3 linked regions of the Macaca fascicularis genome follow. The protein of the gene in region 1 interacts with the protein of each later gene in a pairwise test. Links are inferred from orthologs where the notes say so. Each region holds a gene or a part of one and is shown on either strand. Other genes may lie near its edges.

What was found.
Region 2: the proteins of EHMT2 (region 1) and RD3 interact in binary tests that used the Homo sapiens proteins (3 or more experiments, as listed by UniProt). The two-hybrid records come from large-scale screens. The link is inferred for Macaca fascicularis from reciprocal best matches to the Homo sapiens genes EHMT2 and RD3.
Region 3: the proteins of EHMT2 (region 1) and MX2 interact in binary tests that used the Homo sapiens proteins (3 or more experiments, as listed by UniProt). The two-hybrid records come from large-scale screens. The link is inferred for Macaca fascicularis from reciprocal best matches to the Homo sapiens genes EHMT2 and MX2.

The regions. Positions count from the first base shown.
Region 1 is NC_088378.1:139,822,796-139,826,442, forward strand, and holds part of EHMT2 (histone-lysine N-methyltransferase EHMT2), read left to right. Parts: coding exon 1-1; intron 2-87; coding exon 88-323; intron 324-402; coding exon 403-585; intron 586-704; coding exon 705-787; intron 788-1,261; coding exon 1,262-1,368; intron 1,369-1,465; coding exon 1,466-1,588; intron 1,589-1,678; coding exon 1,679-1,780; intron 1,781-2,603; exon of another isoform or gene 2,604-2,861; intron 2,862-2,983; exon of another isoform or gene 2,984-3,104; coding exon 3,105-3,230; intron 3,231-3,321; coding exon 3,322-3,476; intron 3,477-3,561; coding exon 3,562-3,647. UniProt on the Homo sapiens protein: Histone methyltransferase that specifically mono- and dimethylates 'Lys-9' of histone H3 (H3K9me1 and H3K9me2, respectively) in euchromatin.
Region 2 is NC_088375.1:69,288,242-69,291,963, forward strand, and holds the start of RD3 (protein RD3), read right to left. Parts: upstream 2,821-3,722; 5' UTR 2,756-2,820; coding exon 2,424-2,755; intron 2,091-2,423; exon of another isoform or gene 1,958-2,090; intron 114-1,957; coding exon 1-113.
Region 3 is NC_088377.1:5,602,923-5,606,569, forward strand, and holds part of MX2 (interferon-induced GTP-binding protein Mx2), read right to left. Parts: intron 3,262-3,647; coding exon 3,183-3,261; intron 369-3,182; coding exon 246-368; intron 95-245; coding exon 1-94.

The sequences.
Region 1 (3,647 bases):
GGTGAGTGACCAGTGGGGCAGACAGGTAGAATGCCCCATGGCAGACGGGGCCCCGGCAACCTGACCATGTCGTTTCCCTGCTCCCAGGGCACCTTCCTGGAATGCCACCCTGACTTCCGTGTGGCCCACCGCTTCCACAAGGCCTGTGTGTCTCAGCTGAATGGGATGGTCTTCTGTCCCCACTGTGGGGAGGATGCTTCTGAAGCTCAAGAAGTGACCATCCCCCGGGGTGATGGGGTGACCCCACCGGCTGGTGCTGCAGCTCCTGCACCCCCACCCCTGTCCCAGGATGCCCCCGGGAGAGCAGACACTTCTCAGCCCAGGTACTGGCCTCCCCCTTCTCTACTGTCTGTTCCCTGCCCCATCACTATTGTTCCTGGACATGAGCTCCTTCTTCCACAGCGCCCGGATGCGAGGGCATGGGGAGCCCCGGCGCCCACCCTGCGATCCCCTGGCTGACACCATCGACAGCTCAGGGCCCTCCCTGACCCTGCCCAATGGGGGCTGCCTTTCAGCCGTGGGGCTGCCACTGGGGCCAGGCCGGGAGGCCTTGGAAAAGGCCCTGGTCATCCAGGAGTCAGAGAGGTGAGTGGGGAGTTGTTCAGGCACAGTAACTGGGGCTGAGGCCAGAGGAGCAGTGTCAAGACTGATGCTGGAATCTGAGGAGCTCCCCTTCTCTCCCCACTCCCGTGCTCCCTTGGCAGGCGGAAGAAGCTCCGTTTCCACCCTCGGCAGTTGTACCTGTCCGTGAAGCAGGGCGAGCTGCAGAAGGTGATCCTGATGCTGTGTGAGTGCCACCTATTCCTTCAGCAGACCTTGACCAAGTTCCATGTATATACCAGGCACTGGGCACAGGGCCAGGAGTAGTCATGAAGGATATAGTCCTTGCCCTGAAGGACTTAGTGTGGTGGGGAAAAGACACACATAACCCGTGACGATGGGAACGGTGGTGACTCATAGGTGCTGGGTCCTGTTCTGAGTGCTTATACTTGTTAGCCTTGGCTTGCACAGGGAGGTTAGGGACGTTGCACAGTGCACAGCGGTACTGAGAAGCAAGGCAGGGTTTGAATTCAGGCAGAGCTGATGCCTTTGACTCCTTATTCTGATAAATGCCGTGGTGGAGGCAAGCCCAGAGAATGCCAGGAGGGGCCCTGACCCAACTTGGGGCTCTGAGAAGCCTTCCTGAAAGAAGTGCCACCTGCCCCCTAGCTTGCTTACCACTTGTCCCTCCCTCTCCCGGTGTGGCGGGCTCTCCCCGCAGTGGACAACCTGGACCCCAACTTCCAGAGCGACCAGCAGAGCAAGCGCACGCCCCTGCATGCAGCCGCCCAGAAGGGCTCCGTGGAGATCTGCCATGTGCTGCTGCAGGTCAGCACGGGCCCGGCCCCATGCCTCATTCACCAGGCCCTTAGGCCCCTCCCCTGCCCCATGCCTCCCTGGTGCCAGCCCTCCTGCCCCCTCACAGGCTGGAGCCAACATAAACGCAGTGGACAAACAGCAGCGGACGCCACTGATGGAGGCCGTGGTGAACAACCACCTGGAGGTGGCCCGTTACATGGTGCAGCGTGGTGGCTGTGTCTATAGCAAGGTGTGCATGCAGGCAGCAGGGCGTGGCCCCGGAGTCAGGGACCAGGTTTGGGGTGCCAGCCGGAGACTCATTTGCCCATGTCTCCCTCAGGAGGAGGACGGCTCCACCTGCCTCCACCACGCAGCCAAAATCGGGAACTTGGAGATGGTCAGTCTGCTGCTGAGCACAGGACAGGTGGACGTCAACGCCCAGGTCAGTGGCCCACCCAGCGCAGCTCCTCCGGCTCCCTGGTGCCTGGGTTCCTTGGCTCGGCCTCAGACTTTGGGCCCCCTTTCTACATCTGACCTCTGGCCCTTTCACTCTGCCTCAGGCCGCTTGTGTCTGTCCCCCTTGCTTTCTTCCTCATTTGTATTTCTCTTCATTCTTTTCTTTTTCTTGTTTCTTTCTCTTGATCAAGCTTCAGAATAATCAGTTCCTGCCTTCATCTCTGAAAGTGTCCAGTGAGGCTTTTTTAACTCTCAGGTTGTCATACATTGGATGTGTTTTCGTCATTTATTGGGATTCTTCTCAGTCTTTGAATTATTCCATCATTATCTAGGAGAAGCCCCTTCAAGAGGCCTCTGTGGCCGTGACATGACCCAGTGGCCTTTGAGAGCGTCCTGACCTTTCAGCACATTTCCTGCCCCTGACTCAGCATCCACCATTTCTCTAAGAAACTCTGCTTCCTTTATGGGAAACTTTTTTTTTCTTTTCTTTTTTTTTTTTTTTGAGATGGAGTCTTGCTCTGTTGCCCAGGCTGGAGTGCAATTGCGTGATCTTGGCTCACTGCAACCTCCACCTCCTGGGTTCAAGTGATTCTCTTGCCTCAGCCTCCTGAGTAGCTGGGATTATAGGCACCAGCCACCGTGCCCAGCTAATTTTTGTATTTTTAGTAGAGATGGATTTTCACCATATTGGCCAGGCTGATCTTGAACTCCTGACCTCATGATCCACCCACCTCGGCCTCCCAGCGTGCTGGGATTACAGGCGTGATCTGGCCACTGCGCCGGCCAGAAACATGTTTTAGAGAATAGTCTATGGACCTCGGAGTGTTTATTATTACTGGGTGGTCACTGCTTCTAGGACTTGTGAATGGGCAGACTGAGGAAATTTTTGTTTGTTTTTTGTTTTAAGAGACAGAGTCTTGCTGTGTCACCCAGGCTGAAGTACAGTAGCAATTCACAGACAGTCATAGTTCACTGCATTCTCGAAATCCTGGGCTCAAGCGACACTCCCATCTCAGTCACATGAGTAGCTGGGACTACAGGCACGCGCCTCCATGACCAGCTCCTGGCTGTATTTTTTGGAAAGAGAACAATTACTCACTTTACTTTCTCTCCGGCATCAGGCAGTAGGCACTACTAGTCCCATTTTTTAGATGAAGAAACTATGACCCAGAGACGTTAAGTGACTTACCCCGGGTCCCACAGCTCGTGAATGGTGGAGCTGGGATTCACACACACAGCCAATCTTGACCATTTGCAGCTTTGGTGAGCAGGCCCAGCCGCCCCCACCCTCACTCCCTTCCCACCCACAGGACAGTGGGGGGTGGACGCCCATCATCTGGGCTGCAGAGCACAAGCACATCGAGGTGATCCGCATGCTACTGACGCGGGGCGCCGACGTCACCCTCACTGACAACGTGAGTGAGAGTTTGGTTGAGGTAGGGCAGCCCCAGGCCCCTGAGCAAGGTGGAGGCTGGATTCAAGGGCCCAGCTGCCTGCACCTCATCTGTTCCCCTCCTATCTCCACAGGAGGAGAACATCTGCCTGCACTGGGCCTCCTTCACGGGCAGCGCCGCCATCGCCGAAGTCCTTCTGAATGCGCGCTGCGACCTCCATGCTGTCAACTACCATGGGGACACCCCCCTGCACATCGCAGCCCGGGAGAGCTACCATGACTGCGTGCTGTGAGCCCCTGCCCCGCCCTTGATGCCCCTGCCCCCACTTCTTGCAGCCTCAGACCCCACATTGGGCACCTTGTCCCCTCTTCAGGTTATTCCTGTCACGTGGGGCCAACCCTGAGCTGCGGAACAAGGAGGGGGACACAGCATGGGACCTGACTCCCGAGCGCTCCGACG
Region 2 (3,722 bases), on another chromosome or scaffold:
TGTGGGCCTCCTCTTCCTGCTTCATCCTCTCCAGAACCTCCTGCAGCACCGAGCGGAAAATCTGGGACACCTCCTGCACCTCGGGCTCCTGCTCCGCCAGCAGCTGCCGGAACCTGGGGGGGAGGGGAGGGCGCTGGGGCCATTCATCCACAACAGCGGGCCTGGCACCCCGGGGCGTCTAACCCCGAGGGGCTGCCCGTGCATCCTCGTGGCCAGTTAGTCCACTCCACCCTGCTCCTGAAGCGAATCAGGAACCACCCCACGTTGCTACTGATTCAACTAATCCTAAATTCAAATCTCAGCCCTGCCACCTCTGGCCTCCATTGGCCTTAGCCTCCTCGTCTGTAATCTGAGATGACAGCTGCCTTTTTGTGAGCTATAATGAACTAAGGTATGTAAAGATCCTGACACTTACCTAAGGTTGTTGATGATACAGCATTAAGGGGAGCCCTTTGCAGTGGCAGCCTTACTGATGGGAGGCCTTCTGGCTAGGCCGCTCCTGTCTCTTCTCCACCCCCTGGCCAGCATGATCTTTCTGAAACCTATATCTGATTATGTCACTGCCCCCGTGCTATTCCTTCCAGGTGCGCTGTTTGCCATGCACAGGGGTCCCCTGATACTTCCCTGGAAGACTCTGCACATCAGCTGGGAAGAATCACTTGTGGCCCCAACATGTCCCAGGTTCTCCCAAGGCCCTGTGTGATTTCCCAAGCTGTTTACTCTGCCTAGGCTATCTTTGCTTAGAGCTCACGAGTTAATGCTGGCAAGTCTATTTAATACCAGGTTTCCTCCACCAGATTGAGAGTCAGGACTTCTCAGCAGTGACATGAGACCGGAAATGAGACAGGACAATCATGACCTGTGTGCACTCAGTCTTCCCCCTCACTTTTGAGGTTTCATTTGCCAGCCCAGGTGCCCTTTTCAGCAGCTCCACCCCATGACCCACCCCTGTCCCCAGGTGCTTCTGGAATAGATAGGCTTTGGGAGGCTTCTGCAGTCCAGATTCAGAAAGCTGGGGGAGGGTAAGGTTCTCCACCCGGAGGAAAAAAGGGGTGGGGTGATAAAAGCTCTACAGAAACCAAGGAGTGTGGACGGGGCTGAAGAAGGTGAATGGGGCTGAAGGAGAGGAGTTTTTAAAGAGAATTTCAAAGAAAAAGGTGTACAATAAATGCATGTTAGTTAAAGGGATGGGTGAGGGAAGATTTTGGGAGACTAACAGGAATGTTAAGATGTTTTATTGTGGATTTATATTCCTTTACAAAGAGAAATGTAGATAAAGAACTTGAGTTATTTTGAAATTACTCGATGCTTCTTTGAGAACAGCACTGATTCTTCTGAGACAGGACCATGTGGTCACAGCTTCGGTAGGATCACATTTAAATTCAAGGAACATAGTTGTACCCAAGCTCTAAATGTGCAGTGCCCCAGAATTCTGTCTGAACCCCTCCTACACACTCTCTCACACACACTCTCTCACACACACTCACACACACACACTCACACACACACACACACACACACTCTCACACACACACTCACACACACTCACACACACTCACACACACACTCTCTCACACGCACTTTCATACACACACTCACACACTCACACACACACTCACACACACTCACACACTCTCTCACACACTCTCACACACACTCTCTCACACACACTCACACACACACACACGCTCACACACACACTCACACTCTCACACACACTTTCATACACACTCACACACACTCTCTCACACACACTCTCACACACATACTCTCTCTCACACTCACACACTCACACACACACACTCTCATACACACACACACACTCTCTCACACACACTCTCATACACACACACTCACACACTCTCATACACACACACTTTCTCACACACACTCTCACACACACTCTCATACACACACACACTTTCTCACACACACTCTCACACACACTCTCATACACACACACACACATACACACACACTCATCTGTGGGCAGACTAGCATGAAAGCTAACATAAGCTAGGATAATTAAGAATCTGATTTTGGAGAAATGTCTGAGAAAACTTCTCCAAGAAGGTAATATTGAAGGTAAACTGACGAAAGAAAAGAAGCCAGGTAAGTTAAAATCCAGGACAATAACAATCTGGGCAAGGAGAAGAGAAAACTCAAGGGTATTGTGTTCTCTTGAATCAAAACTCACACGCCTCCAGGAGCAGCCTTTTGCATCCTGCCTCCTGCTGGACCCCCAACCCTAGCCCAGCGTTTCATGGTCTCTTTCAGATTCCTTTTCCCCTCTTGCTCCTTCTAACAGGTAACTAGGTCATCCAGGCTCCCTGGCTCTAGTCCTGGTGGCTTCAGGCCCCTGCCACTGCAGCCACCTTTCCTGGAGCCTGCAGCCCAGCAGGGATCCCCATCCCAGTGCTCACCTGAGGATGGCAGGCCCACAATAGGATGGGTGGATCTTAACGCAGACATCCTCCAGCTGCAGCCGCTCACTGGGGCTGAGGTCATAGGTGGGCCGGGGTGTGCTGGCCAGCCAGCTGTAGTCCACACCGGTGCAGACCTTCCTGACCGCAGTGCTGCGCTCCCGCTGCTGCCTCTCAGCCTCTCGCATCTGCCCGGTCAGCTCCATCATAAGTGTCTCCAGCACCATCTCAGCAGGGCTCCTGGAGGACAGTCGGGATGGGGCCTCGTTCCACCGAAGCCATGAGATGAGAGACATAGCCCCTGGCCCTGCTGAGACAGGACAGGTGTGCATCTTTCCTGGGCCCCTCTGTTAGGGTGGGGAACCTGGGAACCCAAGGGGGAGAGAGGAGAGCTGGGACCCAGGGGAGAAGACCTGCTCCGCCCTAACAGCTGAGTGGCCTCAAGTAGGTGGCTTAATTTCCCTGAGCAATCATTTATAATTCTGTAAGACAAGATAGGGCTGTTGTGCCGGGCGCGGTGGCTCACGCCTATAATCCCAGCACTTTGGGAGGCTGAGGCCGGCGGATCACGAGGTCAGGAGGTCAAGACCATCCTGGCTAACACGGTGAACCCCATCTCTACTAAAAATACAAAAAATTAGCCAAGTGTGGTGGTGGGCACCTGTAGTCCCAGCTACCCTGGAGGCTGAGGCAGGAGAATGGCGTGAACCCGGGAGGCAGAGCTTGCAGTGAGCCGAGATCGTGCCACTGCACTCCAGCCTGGGCGACAGAGCGAGACTCCATTTCAAAAAAACAAAAACAAAAACAAAAATAAAAACAAAAAACATAGGGCTGTTGTGAGAAGCAGCTGTGAATAAACTTTGTACACTGTAGGCATCACATAAAAGTAAGAGACTCTTGTGGTTATGATCCTTAAAGCATCTCCAGGATTGTGCCCAGAGAAAGGGCCTCCTGAATCCCCACTTACTCCCAACAAAGCAGGAAACATATGGACTATGGCTGAGCACAAGCTTTCCCTATGATTTAAGGGGAACACATACACACACTCACACACTCACATACACACACACACACTCAGAACAGATACATCCTATGTCAGTGTACCAGGAAAACACCCTCAGTTTTTAAATGCCTCCAGCCTATTGACGAAAGACACAGAATTCTATGGGGTTGGCCAGCCGTGGTGGCTCACGCCTGTAATCCCAACACTTTGGGAGGTCAAGGCGGGAAGATCACCTGAGGTCAGGAGTTCAAGACAAGCCTGACCAACGTGAAGAAACCCTGTCTCTACTAAAAATA
Region 3 (3,647 bases), on another chromosome or scaffold:
CTCTGATTTTGTTGTATAAACGGGTCTCGTTCTCCCTTACAACTTCTTCTCCTTCTATTAACTTTTCGATGTCCTGATTAAACATCTTGATTTTCTGAAAATGATATAAAGTCAACAGTCTGTGCTGAAATCATATGAAAGAACTGGGACCGGCGTTGTAAGGAGATGTCCACCCACATGCCTCATCTCATGGGTGAGGAGGGGGAAGGACACAGTGTCACGTGGAGGCCCGCGGAAGTCCTCACCTCAATCAGAAAGAACATCTTGTCGGCATCCTGGCTGGGGATGTCAGCACCGCAACGCCGCAGCTCCTCGGTCGCCTTCTGGTGGCTCTCCCTTATTTGTTCTTCTAACAACGGGAGCGATTTCTAAAGAAAACAATTGCAAACAATCAAACTATGGCTTAAGAGATTGGCCAACATAGGCCGGGCGCGGTGGCTCAAGCCTGTAATCCCAGCACTTTGGGAGGCCGAGACGGGTGGATCACGAGGTCAGGAGATCGAGACCATCCTGGCGAACACAGTGAAACCCCGTCTCTACTAAAACTACAAAAAAAAAAAACTAGCCGGGCGAGGTGGTGGGCGCCTGTAGTCCCAGCTACTTGGGAGGCTGAGGCAGGAGAATGGCGGGAACCCGGGAGGCGGAGCTTGCAGTGAGCTGAGATCCGGCCACTGCACTCCAGCCTGGGCGACAGAGCGAGACTCCTTCTCAAAAAAAAAAAAAAAAAAAAAGAGATTGGCCAACATATTTCTTTGGTATATGGGTAGGAACCCTTTAAAGCATGCAGGAAGATCTGGAATTTTTGTTATTTTGTGAATCTCAGTGAGATGGAAACCAGCCAAGGAGCCCAAAGAGAGTTTTGCATGCAACAGGCATGTCCCACAGCTTGGACGGCTTGGCTCGGAATTTTGCATTCTGCTGTGCAATTGGAGTGGTGAGGAATCGGGTGGTGGACAGTTTTTACTTTTGTTTTGTGGTGGTTGTTTGATTTGGCTTGGTGCCTTGTAATTCCAGAATAAGAACACTTGAATATAATGTGCAATGTCTTAGTAAAATGGGATTTTTGGTGACAGTGTGAGTGTTATAAACTGAAAAACACTGTGTCTTGGGGTTGGTGACACACTCCACACCTCATTTAATCCCCACACTGTCGTCTGCTGCTGCCAGTTTTTTGTCAGAGAAGAAACTAAAGCTCAGAGAATCCAATTACTTGCTATCTTCACAGACCTAGTGAGCAGCAGTGGCCAATAGCAACCTGCCTACCAACTCCCCAACCCTGCTCATAAACACTGCAGGTGAAGACACCGTGGGGAGCAGTGACCCCAGGTCCTGCCCTGCTGGACGAGGATGCTACAGCCCCTGGGCAGGGGGAGCTCCCTGGGACTTGGAGGTGGTTTGTGGGTTAGCATGCCAAGGCAAGACAGGTTATGCCAGGAAATTGATAAGGTCTCCTAGGCTCTTTTTTGGGAGACAGTTTGTATCTGTAGGCAAAGTGTATTACCTTCTGATATTTCAAATTGTCATTGTTACAATTCAGTCGATTTAACATTTAAAAATTAATTTAAAATATTATACATTTTAAATTAAAATGTTTGTGTTGAAAAAAGTTATAAAAATACAACATTTTTATTTTTGCAAAAACCAGATGTTTTTCTCAATTAGACAGGGATATAGCTTTCAGAAACCTCTTCTGCAAACTTAGTGAATTCCATGAATTCCACTGGAATCAGTGATTCTCAAAGTTTGTTCCCAGGAAGAAATGCAAATCCACAGGTCTTACATCTAAGTCAGAAACTCTGGGTCTGGGACCCAGGAATCTAAATTTTTTTTTTTTTTGAGACGGAGCCTCACTTTGTCGCCCAGGCTGGAGTGCAGTGGCGTGATCTCAGATCACTGCAACCTCCACCTTCTGGGCTCAAGCCATTCTCCTGGCTCAGCCTCCCAAGTAGCTGGGACTACAGGTGCACAACACCACGCTGGCTAATTTTTGTATTTTTAGTAGAGACCGGGTTTCACCATGTTGGCCAGGCTGGCCTCGAACTCCTGACCTCAGGTGACCCACCCGCCTCAGCCTCCCAAAGTGCTGGGATTACATATGTAAGCCACCATGCCCAGTGTGCCCAGCAGAATCTAAATTGTAACAAACTTTCCAGGTAATTCTTGTATACCTTAAAGTTGGAGAACCACTGGCTCCTTCCAACCAAATTTTCTTTGAGTATGTGCTTCCTGGCTCAAGTAAGTCATTGCTTTTGTTTAATACACAATTTAGCATGGGCCAAGTCCTAGGATCTGGAATAATCTTTGCTCAAAGGGTAAACCTAAATCTTCCCATGTTGCTTGGCCTCATTTGTGAAGGTTTAGGCAAGCATTAAAAATATTCAATTTCTCAATAACCACCAAACCGAAGTTTTTCTATAATTGATGATGTCATGAGTCCCTTGTCTGTAGTTGTCTGCTTTTGAGAATCCATAAAAATGGATTTGTTTCTTACAAACCAATTATTTCTTAGAAGTTTGAGGCTACAAGAATTTTTTTTTTTTTTTTTTTTAAGACAGAATTTTGCTCTTGTTGCCCAGGCTGGAGTGCAATGGCACGATCTCGGCTCACTGCAACCTCCACCTTCCGGGTTCGAGTGATTCTCCTGCCTCAGCCACCTGAGTAGCTGGGATTACAGGCATGTGCCGCCATGCCCAGCTAATTTTGTATTTTTAGTAGAGATGGAGTTTCTCTATGTTGGTCAGGCTGGTCTTGAACTCCTGACCTCAGGTGATCCACCGGCCTCAGCCTCCCAAAGTGCTGGGATTACAGGCATGAGCCACCATGTCTGGCAATAAAAAATTTTTTTTACCAGGAAGTATTAACAACATATTGAAAAAAGACAACTTGCTCGCTCAGTGGTCAGTCCTTTTTATATTGCTAAACTGGTATTACAATTTGTTTCCTTCTCTTCCCCCTCCCCACCTCTGCTGACCAATTCAACCCTTTGTTTTAACACTATGTACTTGTTGCTTCCCAGTTTGGAAGTTCTTCCTGTGAGCCTATGACGGTGAGTGAGACAGTTTTCAGAGGGTACTTGTTTGCTTGTTTGGACAGAACAGTGGGGCATCTTAGCCAATTCCAGAGCAAGAGAGTGACTTGGGCATGCTGTATTGATCACTTGTCACCCAACCCACGTGGCTCACTTGGATGTGCGTGATGAGTTCAGCGGTAAGTCTTTCTGCCAGTCGGGGAACCGTGGCTGACCCCTCCTCCAGCAGAACTCTGAAACGAGACAGACACTCATGCATTCAGGAAGGACTTGTGTAACATCTTGCTAGTACCGGGCTTTGTATGTGGTAGGTGACCCCAGCTCCCTGGGGCAACACTTGCCATCAGAAAAGCCAGGTGGTGCATGAGCAAGACACTTGCCACCAGCCTGTACCCAAGCAAGTGTGGGCCAGGAAGCCTCCTTCCCTTCTCCCTTTCTATCATCCCCACAAATTCATGAGGTAGGTCATCTTAGCTACAGGAAAACAAACCAGCCTCATGGAGATTAACTGAGTTGCCCGGATTAGTATTTTATTTCTCATCACCAAAGTACGGTGCTTACTAAGTGCCGGGCACCAATCTAAGGGCTTTATAAATATTAACACATTTAGTCATTTAAC